Anolis sagrei: one gene and its partner. Each later gene encodes a partner of the first gene's protein in a complex. Links are inferred from orthologs where the notes say so. Each region holds a gene or a part of one and is shown in the gene's direction. Other genes may lie near its edges.

What was found. The genes of interacting proteins can lie anywhere in the genome.
Region 2: the proteins of protein mono-ADP-ribosyltransferase PARP12-like (region 1) and protein KHNYN are in contact, whole or in part, in a crystal structure (PDB 9BGL), measured with the Homo sapiens proteins. The link is inferred for Anolis sagrei from reciprocal best matches to the Homo sapiens genes ZC3HAV1 and KHNYN. Residues at the interface, in NP_064504.2 of Homo sapiens: Glu5, Val6, Cys8, Phe9, Lys12, Ile13, Ala16, His17, Glu29, Ile30, Ala31, Leu32, Leu113, Glu115, Phe118, Ser127, Gly128, Leu129, Asn130, Glu133; in NP_001277186.1 of Homo sapiens: His651, Lys652, Asp654, Phe655, Gln658, Arg659, Pro661, Tyr662, Asn677, Phe678.

The regions. Positions count from the first base shown.
Region 1 is NC_090025.1:101,486,870-101,494,396, reverse strand, and holds the start of protein mono-ADP-ribosyltransferase PARP12-like, read left to right. Parts: upstream 1-4,465; 5' UTR 4,466-4,531; coding exon 4,532-4,827; intron 4,828-7,527.
Region 2 is NC_090026.1:12,981,352-12,988,824, reverse strand, and holds the start of protein KHNYN, read left to right. Parts: upstream 1-4,353; 5' UTR 4,354-5,288; intron 5,289-7,473. Other genes in the region: epimerase family protein SDR39U1, read left to right, coding at 827-970, 3,655-4,070.

The DNA.
Region 1 (7,527 bases):
TAGCCAAGTTTAGAAAAGTGACTTACATTAGATTTCACAGTCCTCCAGCTGGCATACTCATGGTTGGACTGACTGTGCTGGTTCAAGATTCCTTGGATCCCAGAATTTCAAGTACAAACTAAAGCATGTCCTAAATCTGCCTACTGAAAAATAATGGAACTTGCTGTGAGCCTAAAAGTCAGGCTTAGAGTGTTCTTGGGAAGATTTCTACTGTGTGTGTGTGTGTGTTACTATTGCCTTTATCTTGTGTATGAGTCTTCTTTAAAGTTACAGAAAGGGCTTTTTCCATTAGAGCTGCCGCAAACTAGCCTCCTGCGGGAGCAAACTGTGCCAGCACGTCCCTGACGTCATGAGACTGCGCCTCTCTCTCCGCCCCTTTCTCTGTGCCAGAGTGGTTTTTCCTTTGCTAGGGCAGCATTGCCAGCGTACTCTTGTTGTTGACATAAGGCCCGTCGCAAACTCTTTTCCTGCGAGAGAAACCTTGCTAGCAAGTCCCTGACGTCACGAGCCTGCGCCTCTCTCCCCGCCCCTTTCTCCGCCCCTTTCTCTTTGCGAGCGTGGTTTTTCCTTTGCTAGGGCAGCATTGCCAGCGTACTCTTGTTGTTGACATAAGGCCCGTCGCAAACTCTGTTCCTGCGAGAGAAACCTTGCTAGCAAGTCCCTGACGTCACGAGCCTGCGCCTCTCTCCCCGCCCCTTTCTCCGCCCCTTTCTCTTTGCGAGCGTGGTTTTTCCTTTGCTAGGGCAGCATTGCCCGCATTTTCTCTCAGTTGAATTCTGCCAACTGAGAGAAAATGCGGGCAATGCTGCCCTAGCAGAGGAAAAACCACGCTCGCATGGAGAAAGGGGCAGAGAAAGGGGCGGGGAGAGAGGCGGAGTCTCGTGACGTCAGGGACTTGCTAGCAAGGTTTCTCTCGCAGGAACAGAGTTTGCGACGGGCCTAATTCAACAACGAGAGTACGCTGGCAATGCTGCCCTAGCGAAGGAAAAACCACTCTGGCATGGAGAAAGAGGCGGAGAAAGGGGCGGAGAGAGAGGCGCAGTCTCACGACGTCAGGGACGTGCTGGCACAGTTTGCTCCCGCAGGAGGCTAGTTTGCGACGGGTCTAACAGTCCATTAAAATAGAACTGATACCGATACAAAGGTCTGATGTAAGCAAGGTAGATGTAACTTCAAAGGATGTTTTGATTTTTGACAGTTGAAGGAAATGAACAACAACAAAATTTAACAATAAATATTTAACAGTGTGATAGCGCTGAGTGTGGCTAGGGTGTATCAGTGAATTTGTGTGTACATTGTCAACAACCTTTCAGTGCTTCTGCTGATGACTCGTCTCTTTGGCTTTAATATCACATGAGTTTTTGAATAAACAGAAGTTGTGGTTTCAGTTCTGCCTTATGCTTGTTATTTGAGCAACATAAGGAAGAATTTCTGTTTATATATTGTTAATTTCTGTTGTTGTTGCTGTGTTCTTTCAATTGTTCCCAACATATGAACATCCTATGATGACCCTATCACAGGGATTTCTGAGGCTGAGAGTGTGTAACTCCCCTAAGGTCTCCCAATGGGTTTCTATGGCTGAATGTGGAGTCAAATGTGCAAATCACACTGGTTCCTTAATTTTTGGAAGGTACTGTCTTTTTTAGATCCATGATTACATTTGTTCGGAAACAAGAGGGAGTTTCTGATTTCCTATTTTCCCCGTGAGATTCCCTAGGGTACACCTACACTTTAGCATTAATGTATTTGACACCACTTTAACCATCATGGCTCAGTGCTATAAAACCCTGGGATTTGTTTTTTAGTGAGGCACCAGCACTCTTTGGCAGAGAAGACTAAAGATCATGATAAAAGTACAACTCCCAGAATCCCATGGCATTGAGCCATGGCAGGTACACTTTGGAAGTATCTATTTGAAGGCTTTCTGTTGTGTTCTTCACCCAAAAGTATCTGCAAAGAGTGGATGTACAGTCTGGATGGGGGCGAACAAATTGAAATTGAATCCAGACAAGACAGAGGTACTCCTGGTCAGTCGTAAGGCCGAACAGGGTATAGGGTTACAGCCTGTGTTGGATGGGGTCGCACTCCCCCTGAAGACACAGGTTCGCAGTTTGGGTGTGATCCTGGACTCATCGTTGAGCCTGGAACCCCAGGTTTCAGCGGTGACCAGGGGAGCATTCGCACAGTTAAAACTCGTGCGCCAACTGCGCCCGTACCTTGGGAAGTCTGACTTGGCCACGGTAGTCCACGCTCTGGTTACATCCCGTTTAGACTACTGCAATGCTCTCTACGTGGGGTTGCCTTTGAAGACGGCCCGGAAGCTCCAATTAGTCCAACGCTCGGCAGCCATGATACTAACTGGAGCGGAGCACAGGGAGCATACAACTCCTCTGCTGCACCAGCTCCACTGGCTGCCGATCTGCTACCGGGCTCAATTCAAAGTGCTGGCGCTGGCCTTTAAAGCCCTAAACGGTTCTGGCCCAACTTACCTATCCGAACGTATCTCAACCTATCAGCCCACCAGAACCCTAAGATCTTCTGGGGGGGCCCTGCTCTCTATCCCGCCTGCTTCACAGGTGCGGCTGGCAGGGACGAGAGACAGGGCCTTTTCTGTGATGGCCCCGCGGCTATGGAACGCCCTCCCCATGGAGGTAAGATCAGCCCCCTCATTGATGGTTTTCCGGAAAAGACTAAAAACCTGGATGTTCGAGCAGGCGTTCGGTTAACTCAGTGCAATAAGTGTAATGATTGAAGGACTGGCAATTTGGACGACGAAACTGGATCGCGATTTTAGTCAAGAGATGAATTGGATGGTTTATTGATATATGTATTGTGGATCGTGTTTTTATGCTTTTAAACTGTATACTGTTGTTTGTTATAAGTTGTGTAAACCGCGTTGAGTCGCCGGCTAGGCTGAGAAACGGCGGTATACAAGTATAGCAAATAAATAAAATAATAATAAATTTATTGGTATCTGCCTGCTGTTAATAAATAGGCAAAACCAAAATGGTTCCCCACAGTTCCTCCCCTTGTAGTGCCACAAAAAGGAATGTTTGAAAAGGAAAATTCAATTCCATTTGTAATTACTGTCTGATAATAATAATAAAATTGTTATTATAATATACCAAAAATGATAATTTTATGACAGCTAAAATTATACTTACCATTTTTTTCTGTTCTTAAAGTAAGAACAGAACAGTCTGGTTGTTATTATGTGTCTTCCAAATGTTATTTTCAGTGTATAGAGATTAAATCATAGGGTTTTCATGGTAATTTTTTTCAAAGGAGGTTTGCCTTTGCCTTCCTTTGAGGCTGAGAGAGTGAGGCTTCCTGAAGATTCCATGGTTGAGAAGTAACTCTTTCAAGCTTGGATATGAGGACTAGGTAGCCTCCATGGCATGGTGATGCCTGGAATATCCTTTGAGCATCAGTGGGGCCCCTCTCCATAGTTGTAGAGTGAAAATGGTCAACTAGGCCATTAGTTCTGAGAGTGCCTTGGACTGCGAGAAGATCCAACCAGTCCATCCTCCAGGAAATAAAGCCCGACTGCTCATTGGAGGGAAGGATACTAGAGACAAAGCTGAAGTACTTTGGCCACATCATGAGGAGACAGCAAAGCCTAGAGAAGACAATTATGCTGGGGAAAGTGGAAGGTAAAAGGAAGAGGGGCCGACCAAAGGCAAGATGGATGGATGGCATCCTTGAAGTGACTGGACTGACCTTGAAGGAGCTGGAGGTGGTGACGGCTGACAGGGAGCTCTGGCGTGGGCTGGTCCATGAGGTCACGAAGAGTCGGAGATGACTGAACGAATGAACAACAAAGGCCATTATTTATTTGCAGATTTTAATCCTGCTGATTGGCCTAGGGCAAACTAATCCAATTTATTTATTTTTTATTTGTCGTATCAGAAGTGAACTGAGGGTACAGTTGTAATATATTTTAAAAAACACAAAGTTTTAAAAACTTGGCCTTGTACTAAATGTCCTTCGACTAATAGCTGGCCACTTGGAGTGCCTCTGGTGTTGCTATAAGAAGGTCCTCCATTATGCACGTGGCAGGGCTCAGACTGCATTGCGATAGGTGGTCTGTGGTTTGCTCTTCTCCACACCCGCATGTTGTGGACTCCACTTTGTGGCCAGAAACTAATACAATGTACATTTTTTAAAAGCCAAGCCAAAACATGACAGTTAAAATCAGTACTGCCCCACCACCCTGTAATCCTAAATAAAACAGTCCTAAATCCTAAATAAAACAAGAATGATGACATTCGCTCAAAATGCAATTCAGTCGCCAAGAATTTTTGATAAATCACCCTTTGCCTCCCTTTAGGTCAGGTGGTGCTATCAATGATCTACCTTTGTTGACTTTCTGTTTCCAGCATTCATATGACAGAGTTAAGTTGCCAGGGAGTTACTTGTCTTCAGTTTCGATTCTCTTCGGAGTTGCAGGGAAAATAGGTGGAGCCTAGGTTGGTCTGACTTGAAACCAAACAACTCTTTAACAGACAGGTGGACAGACCAGAGATTGATCATGACTGATCCGGTTGTGTGTAGTTTTATCACCAAGATCCTTTGCTCCATGGGGGGCAGCTCAAGTTATCAGGAGATTCTTCCTGTTTTGGGGCTTCCCGACCACCAGTTAAGGCAGATCTTGGAGCAATCTGGGGAGGAAAGATTTCTGGTCAATGAGCAAGGCACCTCGTCTCAGGTGCTGGCAATCTCTCCGGTGCGTCTGTGTCTGAGGAATGAGTGTGATGGGTGCGAACGTCTTCATATTTGCAAGAACTACATCAAGAAGAAATGTTTCAGGCCTGCTCGTGGCAGATGGTGAGTTGCGGGGTGAGGTTAGAAAGAAAGAGAGAAGAAAAAGAAAAGATGGAAATGAGGAAGGCAGCTTTTGATAGCATTGAAAGAGATAAAAATGGATGTGAGTGGACTGGTACATTGTGACATGGTAGCCAACTCTCAAGAGAGAAAAGAGACAAAAGTCAAAGCAAATGTAGTTTCTGTCTGTTTTCTTCATTAGCCTCAAGTTCAACTGGCACTGCTTAGTTCAGTGGTTTCCAACCAGCGAACTGTGTACCACCGGTGTTCTGCAAGAACTAAAATATGGTCTGTGGCCTCACCATTACTACACTATTGCAACAAGAGCGACTGGTCTCGCAAAACCCTGTCATAGTACCGAGGCTTATTAAATATTGTTTTCTGTGGGTGAACAGATGGTAACTACTCGATGGCATATGTTCTGTATCAGAACTAGAGCTGATGTGGTCTATCTAATGCAATTTTCTGAATCAGCACCCCAAATAACCAAACCAAATTTAAAATTGACCAAAAACTGATTTGTAACCCTTTTGATACTAATGTTGGAGAGTGGTCCCTGGTCAGAGAGATCCCTAGTCAAAAAGGTTTGGGAATCACTGGTTTAGTTAGAAGGCATGAAAGACAAACGTCACCCAGCAACTATAGTGAGATAGCTCACTTTACACCTAAATAATGTTGTTGTTGTTGTGGACCAATAGGATAAACCAGAAGAATAAAGACTAATGTAATTTTGGAAATTTGACCCCATTTACTCTCAAATGAATGTGTGTTAGGTAATGGATTTGAATTTTCAGCTGTGCTCAAATTATAGGTTTTGTGAATGTATTTCAAAAGAAAAGCCATGTTTCAGAATGAACAAATCCATTGTATTATTACTAATAGTTGTTGTATAATACTAATAGTTGTTGTATCTCGGTGGTGGCCCCTCGGCTGTGGAACGCCCTTCCCATGGACATTAGATCAGCTCCCTCATTGATGGTATTTCGGAGAAAAGTGAAAACCTGGTTATTTGAACAGGCGTTTGAATAGGCAGTGCAATGAATTTTAGGAAATGGAACTATGGACGACGAGTTTGGATCATGATTCTAGTTATGAGATGCCAATGAATGAATGTTTATTGTTGTTTAATTGCTTAGTCTGCTATTGTGTTAATTGTTAATTGTTTTTAAATACCTTGTTATGCTGCATTGAATTTTTGCTATTTTGTTGTTAACTGCTATGAGTCGCCTAAGGGCTGAGAATAGCGGTATACAAGTGAAGTAAATAAAATAAAGAAATAAGGAAATAATTTGTACACTTACTGATACTTGTGCCTTTGTTGGGAATGAATGTGTAAATAGACCTCTGGTTTTAAGATGAGCAAGGGCTTAGAGCAGGGGTCCTCAAACTAAGGCCTGGGGGCCGGATACAGCCTTCCAAGATCATTTACCCGGCCCTCGCTCAGGATCAACCTAAGTCTGAAATGACTTGAAAGCACACAACAACAACAATCCTATCTCATCAGCCAAAAGCAGCCCCACACTTCTCATTGATATTTGAGTTTATATTTGTTAAAATTGTTCTTCATTTTAATTATAACATTGTTTTAAAGTGTTTTTTGCACTACAAATAAAACATGTGCAGTGTGCATAGGAATTCATTCATGCTTTTTTCAAATTATAATCCGGCCCTCCAACAGTTCGAGGCACTGTGACCTGGCCCCCTGTTTAAAATGTTTGAGGACCCCTGGCTTAGAGGCTTGCAATAGGTCTCGTTTCTGGTTTTGGTGTAATCTGAGAACCTCTCTTGCTGTGGACTCCAAATGGGAAATCCCAGGATTCCATAGGAAGTTGACATGATAATATGTAACAAAATTTGGAGAGAAAAAAATCTGTTCCCGGTCTGCAAGTGTTATTTCCTGTTTAATTGTACGGTACTCACTTTGAAAGTAGTTGTTATACCCTAGAAACTTTGTTTTTGTGGCTGCCACAAACTATGTTGAATTGATTGAGACCTTATGAGATACTGAAAAACTATAGTAAATTTTCCCACTTCTTATCCTATGTGATTTGGTTCATACATGAAAGTTAACAACTGAGGTGTAGAAGGGGAGACCTTTGAAAAACTAGACCTGTTTTGGCATTCATATTGTGTGCTGCATTAACGTGCTCAGGGAGAGTGACATGGTTCCTGATAATATGGACATTCATTAATGGGTGATGGCAGTGGTGGCTAATAGTCATAATAATGGTTTTCCTTGAGGTTGTGAGTGCGGAAGGAGGGCTCAAAGTTCATCCCTTTCCATGTTTTTATCCCATGGCAAATGTCTTTCTTCGTACCTATAAAACTACTGTGAAACAACTTTGAGATTTTCAGGAAGCTTGTCCCTGTGTCTACAACTACATTTGGCACAGAGTCACAATAAACAGAAGCCTTGTCTTTGAGACAATATGGGGACGCTTTATATATCTTTGTTATTCTTCATAAATTCTATGCAAATTGGAAGTAAATTAGTTTGCCATGCTCAGAAATCACCATTGTGATTGTTTGAAAACAATTTAAAAGGAGAGCTGGAAATACGTTGAAAACAATTTAAAAGGAGAGCTGGAAACACCAGGGCACCAACTTCTGACTTCCTGGTATAAAAAAAGAAAAACATGAACTGGAAAATTGAGTGGAGGGAGGATCCCTCTCCCTCCCTTTGTGTATAAGAGAGTTGAAGGT
Region 2 (7,473 bases), on another chromosome or scaffold:
CTATTTCTGGCCAAAGCCAACCTTTAAACAAATTGCTGTGATGTTTTGGAACGCTTCCGGATATTCCAGCTTCTGAGGTTGAAGGTATTATTAGAAGAGTGTTGACCAATGGCACAGGTTATATAAGGGGAAGCTTTGGAGGAAGGAAACCAAGGAAAACACCTGGGGACAAAGGGTAATGCCGTGAAGTCAACAGGAAGGAAGATACGCAAGGCAACTGAAAGGAAATAGGGGTTGCGAAACAGAGAAGGACAGAAGGTGATGTGGTTGAAGACACGAGTCTGGAAAAAGTGTAACGGGGACAACAAGAAAAATAAGTTTATGGTGCAAAAGTGTGAAATTAGACTTTCCCCACTTTCCTGTTGATTTCCGCTTAATTTTCTTACATGGGTCATGCTGCTTCTGCTGTTAACAAGTAAACACCATACATTTGAAATAGAACACAACAAGGACCTGAAGCAGGCATGGGCAAACTTTGGCCCTCCAGGTGTTTTGGACTTCAACTCCCACAATTCCTAACAGAAATCATCTCTGAACAAATGCCAAGAAAAGTTCATGATCACCTGTTGTTGTGCGTCTTCAAATTGTTTCCAACTTTTGGCAACCCTAGGGCTATCGTGTTTTCTGGGGACAAATCACCACCTTGTGATTAACTGAACTGTTATTTTGCTGCAAGCTCCTTTTACGAAATGCTTCCTGTTTTAAGAGTGTTAAGAAAAACAAGGTAATTAAGTCACAATTATAGAGAAAACATCTATGTGCAGCAGTGCAAGGTGATAGGTCTCCTATGTACCTTAATAAAATGCTTGTGAAATGTTTTATCTAGGATATTACCGGCCCAGCCACACCACAAAATACACAGAAGACAGTCCTGGTGGAGATTTTGATTTCTTTTCTCGCCTAGTAACTCGCTGGGAAGCAGTGGCTCGAATCCCTGGTGACGTCACACGCCAAGCAGTTGTGAGATCTGGTGAGACGAAGCACAGGATAGGCCGATTGCTCAAAGTATAATTGGATGGGTTGAGCATCCTCTATTGATACATTGGTTGGATTGTGTTAATTTTGTGATTGTTTTAAATTTGATATATAATAATAATAATAATAATAATAATGATCTATTTATTTATTAATATTAATTTATTTACTAATATTAATTAATTAATTAAATTATTAATAATTATTTACCGAATTATTTATTTATCAATAATTATTTAAGTGGCCTGCACTTAAACACAATCGGCGCTGACAAGATTACCATCTGCCAGCTGCAAAAGGCCACCCTACTGAGATCTGCACGCATTATTCGCCGATACATCACACAGTCCTAGAGACTTGGGAAGTGCCCAACGTGTGATCCAATACATCAGCCAGCAGAGTGATCTTGTCTGCTGTGAATTCATCTTGTTGTGTTTCAAATAATAATAATAATAATAATAATAATAATAATACGACTCTGTCACAAGCCAGTAAAGGTGGTCCCAGTGATGATCGGCACACTGGGTGCAGTGCGTAAAGACCTTGGCCTGCACTTAAACACAATTGGCGCTGACAAATTTACCATCTGTCAGCTGCAAAAGGCCACTATACTGGGATATGCACGCATTATTCGCTGATACATCACACCATCCTATACACTTGGGAAGTGTCTGACGTGTGATCCAATACAACAGCCAGCAGAGTGATCTTGTTTGTTGTGGATTCATCTTGTTGTGTTTCAAATAATAATAATAATAATAATAATAATAACAACAACAACAACAACAGGCCAGTGAATGTGGTCCCAGTGGTGATCGGCACACTGGGTGCAGTGGCTAAAGACCTTGGCCTGCACTTAAACATATTTGGCGCTGAAAAGATAATAATAATAACAACAAGCCAGTGAATTATTATTATTATTAAACTTTATTTGTATCCCGCTAGCATCTCCCACAGGACTCGATGCGGCTTACAAAGGCCAAGGCCTCAACAAACAATACAACAAAACCTAGGCAAATTAAACCAATTAAAGCAATCTAAAACAACAAGCAATGAACAATCCACTAAGGCACAATAAAACTGGGCCGGGCCAGAGTAAGGGTACAAGGGTTAAAAGTGCTGATGTGACAGGTGGAAATGAGGCTCATGGACAAGTGCAGTGTGCAATGTGCGGCCGTCTTGGCTTTAATAAAGTCCTTGTGGGACTTGGTAATGGAGGTTTCCTATTCAGGAAAGGCACATCGGAACTGTAATGCACTCTACGTTGGGCTGCCCTTGAAAACGGCTCGGAAATTCCAACTGGTCCAACGAGCAGCAGCCAGGATGTTGACTGGCGCTCCCTACAGAGAGAGGTCAACCCTCCTGTTCAAGGAGCTCCACTGGCTGCCGTTTATCTACCGAGCCCAATTTAAGGTGCAGGTGCTTACCTACAAAGCCCTGAACGGTTTGGGACCAGCCTACCTGCATGACCGCATCTCCGTCTACAAACCCACAGGCTCTCTCCGTTCATCTGGAGAGGCCCTGCTTGTGATCCCACCTGCGTCGCAAGCGCGTTTGGTGGGGACACGAGACAGGGCCTTTTCCGTGGTGGCCCCCCGACTCTGGAACACCCTCCCCAAATATCTTAGACAGGCTCCTACATTGGCAGTCTTCAGAAAGAACTTGAAGACCTGAATGTGGTCCCAGTGGTGATCGGCACACTGGGTGCAGTGGCTAAAGACCTTGGCCTGCACTTAAACATAATTGGCGCTGAAAAGATAATAATAATAATAATAATAATAATAATAATAACAACAATAACAAGCCAGTCAATGTGGTCCCAGTGGTGATCGGCACACTGGGTGCAGTGCTTAAAGACCTGCACTTAAACATAATTGGCGCTGACAAGATAATAATAATAACAACAACAACACAACCAGTACAGGTGGTCCCAGCGGTCATCGGCAGACTGGGTGCCGTGCTAAAAGATCTCAGCGGCATTTGGAAACAATAAACATTGACAAAATTACGATCTGTCAACTGCAAAAGGCCACCTGACTTGGATCTGCGTGCATCATTTGAAAATACATCACACAGTCCTAGATGCTTAGGAAGTGTTCGACTTGTGATTTTGTGATACGAAATCCAGCATATAGATCTTGTTTGCTTTTTTTTTTTTTTTTTTTGTCGTCATGTCAGGAGTGACTTGAGAAACTGCAAGTTGCTTCTGGTGTGAGTGAATTGGCCTTCTGCAAGGACGTTGCCCAGGGCACGCCCGGATGATTTGATGTTTTTATCATCCTTGTGGGAGGCTTCTTTCATGTCCCCGCATGAGGTGCTGGAGCTGATAGAGGGAGCTCATCCGCCTCTACCTGGATTCGAACCTGCGACCTGTCGGTCTTCACTCCTGCTGGCACAGGGGTTTAACCCACTGTGCCACCGGGGGCTCCTCTCGTTTGCTGTGGCATACTGTGTTTTTGTGTCAGTAAAATAATAATAATAATAATAATAATAATAATAATAATAATACATTTGATATGTTACTTATTTTGTTTTATGTTATCTACTATGTTTTATGACCATAAGCTGCTTTGGGTCCCTTGTTGGGAGATGCGGCGGAGTATAAATAAAGTGATGTGGAAAGTTCTCAGAACTAAACATTGCTCTCTAAATGGCTATTGTTCCTTTACTTGAACACAGGTGTTGTGCTGGGCAGAGACGGCGGTGCCATCGCCCAAATGCTGTGGCCCTTTCGCCTCGGTGTGGGAGGGCCCATCGGCTCTGGCCGCCAGCCTTTTCCTTGGATCCACGTGGCGGATTTGGCGGGCATTTTGGCCCATGCGTTGGAACGGGAAGGAGTCAGCGGGATCCTGAACGGCGTCTCACCAACTGCTGTTACCACCACAAATAAGGACTTTGCCCAAGTGATGGGGTCAGTGCTCAGGCGGCCCGCCCTGTTGCCCCTGCCGGGTTTTGCCATTTCGGCCATTTTTGGCCCCGAACGAAGCATCATGTTGCTGGAAGGGCAGCGAGTGGAGCCCAAGCGGACTCTGGAGAGCGGCTACAGCTTTGCGTTCCCTGATCTTCCCTCTGCCCTCCGGGATATCTTAGTCTGAGCTGATAAAAAAGAAACCTAGGCGGTATCAGTTATATATAATGCTGCTGCTGGTGTGTTATAAATTATCAGATGCATTATACTGTAAGATTATATTTACTTGAAGCCATGGATATGTCCAAAGATCATTATATTACCATTATAGAGCAGAGATACAGCAAAGAATACATTTCATCTTCACTATATTTCAAATGGTAATAAATGAGTGGGTTGTTGTGAGTTTTCCGGGCTGTATGGCCATGTTCCAGAAGCACTCTGTCCTGACGTTTCACCCACATCTATGGTAGGCATCCTCTGAGGTTGAAGGGTCTGTTGTAAACTAGGCAAGTGGGGTTTATATATCTGTGGAAGGTCCAGGGTGGGAGAAAGGACTCTTATGTGTTAGAGGCATGTGTGAATGTTGCAATTGGCCACCTTAATTAGCATTGAATGGCCTTGCAACTTCAAAGCCTGGCTGGTTGCTGCCTGGAGAAATCCTTTGTTGGGAGGTGTTAGCTGGTCCTGATTGTTTCTTGTCTGGAATTCCCCTGTGGCCAGTTGCAACATTCACACTTGCCTCAAGCAGACAAGAGTTCTTTCTCCCACCCTGGACATTATTCCACAGATATATAAACCCAATTTTTCTAGTTTCCAACGGACCTCACAACTTCTGAGGATGAGGAAGAACTTCCTGACTGTGAGAGCCATTCAGCAGTGGAACTCTCTGCCCCGGAGTGTGGTGGAGGCTCCTTCTTTGGAAGCTTTTAAACAGAGGCTGGATGGCCATCTGTCAAGCGTGATTTAAATGCAATATTTCTGCTTCTTGGCAGGGGGTTGGACTGGATGGCCCACGAGGTCTCTTCCAACTCTTTGATTCTATGATTCTATGCCTGCCATAGATGTGGGTGAAACGTCAGGAGAGGGTGCTTCTGGAACATGGCCATACAGCCTGGGAAACTCACAGCAACCGAGACATCGGTTTGGTTGTTAAGAAACCTTTTTCGTCTATTTGGGGCATTGTATTGTCGAAGGCATCTCTTGCCGAGGCTTTCACTAGATGGCACTACAGTTGCCGGACGTCCTCGAAGGCCAAGAGGGCGGGCGATAAATTATGAAGGGAATTTCCCAGAGAAAACAAACAAATACAACAGTCATTTCTTTTGCCCCACATCTGGACTTGTTTATAACTTTTTCAGCACAGGGACGAAGGGACTTTAAGAAGAGGACTCCGATTTTCAAGGTAAGACGCCAGGAACGGAAAACCAAGGGCAGAACCTCAAGTGACATTTTAAGGCTGATGTGTCGCTTACATTTTCCAAATTTCGAGACAGATCTGTATTGATTTAAGGCGTTCCACAGGGTGGGACTTCAAAACCTGCCTTTCGCCTTGCGATAAATGAAATAGTAATGCAAGAGGAACATGGGGAGAGAGAGAAAAAGAGTGGATGAACGTATCTTTAAATGCCTTTCACAAACTTTATTCCCATTGGAGATCGCTTCTGGAGCTGTCAAAGGCTTTCATGGCCAGAATTACTGGGTTGTTGTGAGTTTTCTGGGTTTTTTGGCCATGTTCCTGAAGCATTCTCTCCTGATGTTTTGCCCGCATCTATGGCAGGCATCCTCAGAGGTTGTGAGGTCTGTTGGAAACTAGGAAAATGGGGTAAACAAAGAGCGACACTCAAAAATAGGGGAATTCCAGACAAGAAATAATCAGGGCCAACTAATCACCTCCCAACAAAGGATTCCCCTAGGCAGTAAGAAGCTAGACCTTGAAACTGCTAAGCCATTCAATGCTAATCAAGGTGGCCAATTGCAACATTCGCATCTACCTCAAACAGACAAGAGTTCTTTCTCCCACCCTGGACATTATTCGACAGATATATAAACCCCAGTTTTTCCATATGCAGATTTTCACCTTTATTGTGTGTATAGATGTCATTTATTTATTTACAGTACTAGCTTGGGAACCCGGCGCTGCCTGGGTTATTAGAGAAAGTGGGTAATGGCGGTTCTGTAGGCCAAGTTTGGTCTTTATTGGTCATTGGATGACGGTTGCATTGTTTTCGGGAAGTGAGTGAAGGTACTTGAAGTCCCATCATCCATGGTCCAGCCTCCTCCAAACAGCAGCAGGATATAGAGTGGGTCATGGGGGCTCTGTGTGCCAAGTTTGGTCTTTATCAGTCATTGGATGAGGGTGGTAGTGGTTTCAGTAAGTGAGTGAAGGTACTGCAAGCCCCATCATCCATGATCCACCCTCCTCCAAACTGAAACAGGATGTAGATAGGGTCATGGGGGCTCTGTGTGCCAAGTTTGGTCTTTATCAGTCATTGGATGAGGGTGGTAGTGGTTTCAGTAAGTGAGTGAAGGTACTGCAAGTCCCATCATCCATGGTCCAGCCTCCTCCAAACAGCAGCAGGATATAGAGTGGGTCATGGGGGCTCTGCGTGCCAAGTTTGGTCTTTATCAGTCATTGGATGAGGGTGGTAGTGGTTTCAACAAGTGAGTGAAGGTACTGCAAGTCCCATCATCCATGATCCACCCTTCTCCAAACTGAAACAGGATGTAGATAGGGTCATGAGGGCTCTTTGTGCCAAGTTTGGTCTTGATCAGTCATTGGTTCAGGATCGCAGCGGTTTCAGTAAGTGAGTGATGATACTGCAAGTCCCATCATCCATGGTCAACCCTCGGATCACAATGGACATATACATGGTAAACATTCAATGCCACAGGCACACAACATATATAGACAGGCACACAGAGGCTATTTAATTTTCCAGTTTCATGAGGGTATGCTTTTTGAATTCCAGCCACCAGGGGAGTTGTTGCTTCACTTGTGACACCGCTGGAGTACTTCCTCATTCTTTTGCACTCTGCTGGAGAGTTTTATGGCGTCGTAAATTAGTTAAATTTGCCTTCCCACATAAATGGTACCTAATTTTCCTACTTGACAGATGCAACTGTCTTTGGGCTGTAAAGGTTGACAGCAAGCTAGACAAATGGTCGGGAGCTTACTCCGACCCAAGATGGCTTCGAACTCATGACCTTTCTGTCAGTAGTTATTTTTAATGCAGCTGACTCCCAACCTGCTGTGCCAGAACCCAGTCCAATGTATAGATGTATCGATGATAATGATGATTGCTTATTTCCTTGTTTTGAATTTACCTTAAAAGGAGCAATATTAACCCACAGGTGTCATGGCTATCTTTAAAAAAGGGAACTGTGCCATCATCATAAGCTCCAAACTATGATGGGGTGAGTGAGATCAGCCTTGGGGTGACTTCCTTTTTTACTAATGCAGATTAAATTCTGAAAAGCGATGACAGTCGAGAATAAAACGCAGACGCGCTTTGTCGCACGGCCTTCCACCTATCTCTGGGCCGGGTGGATTTTGCAATCTGGAATTTCCCCGTTGACGGCTGTGGGTG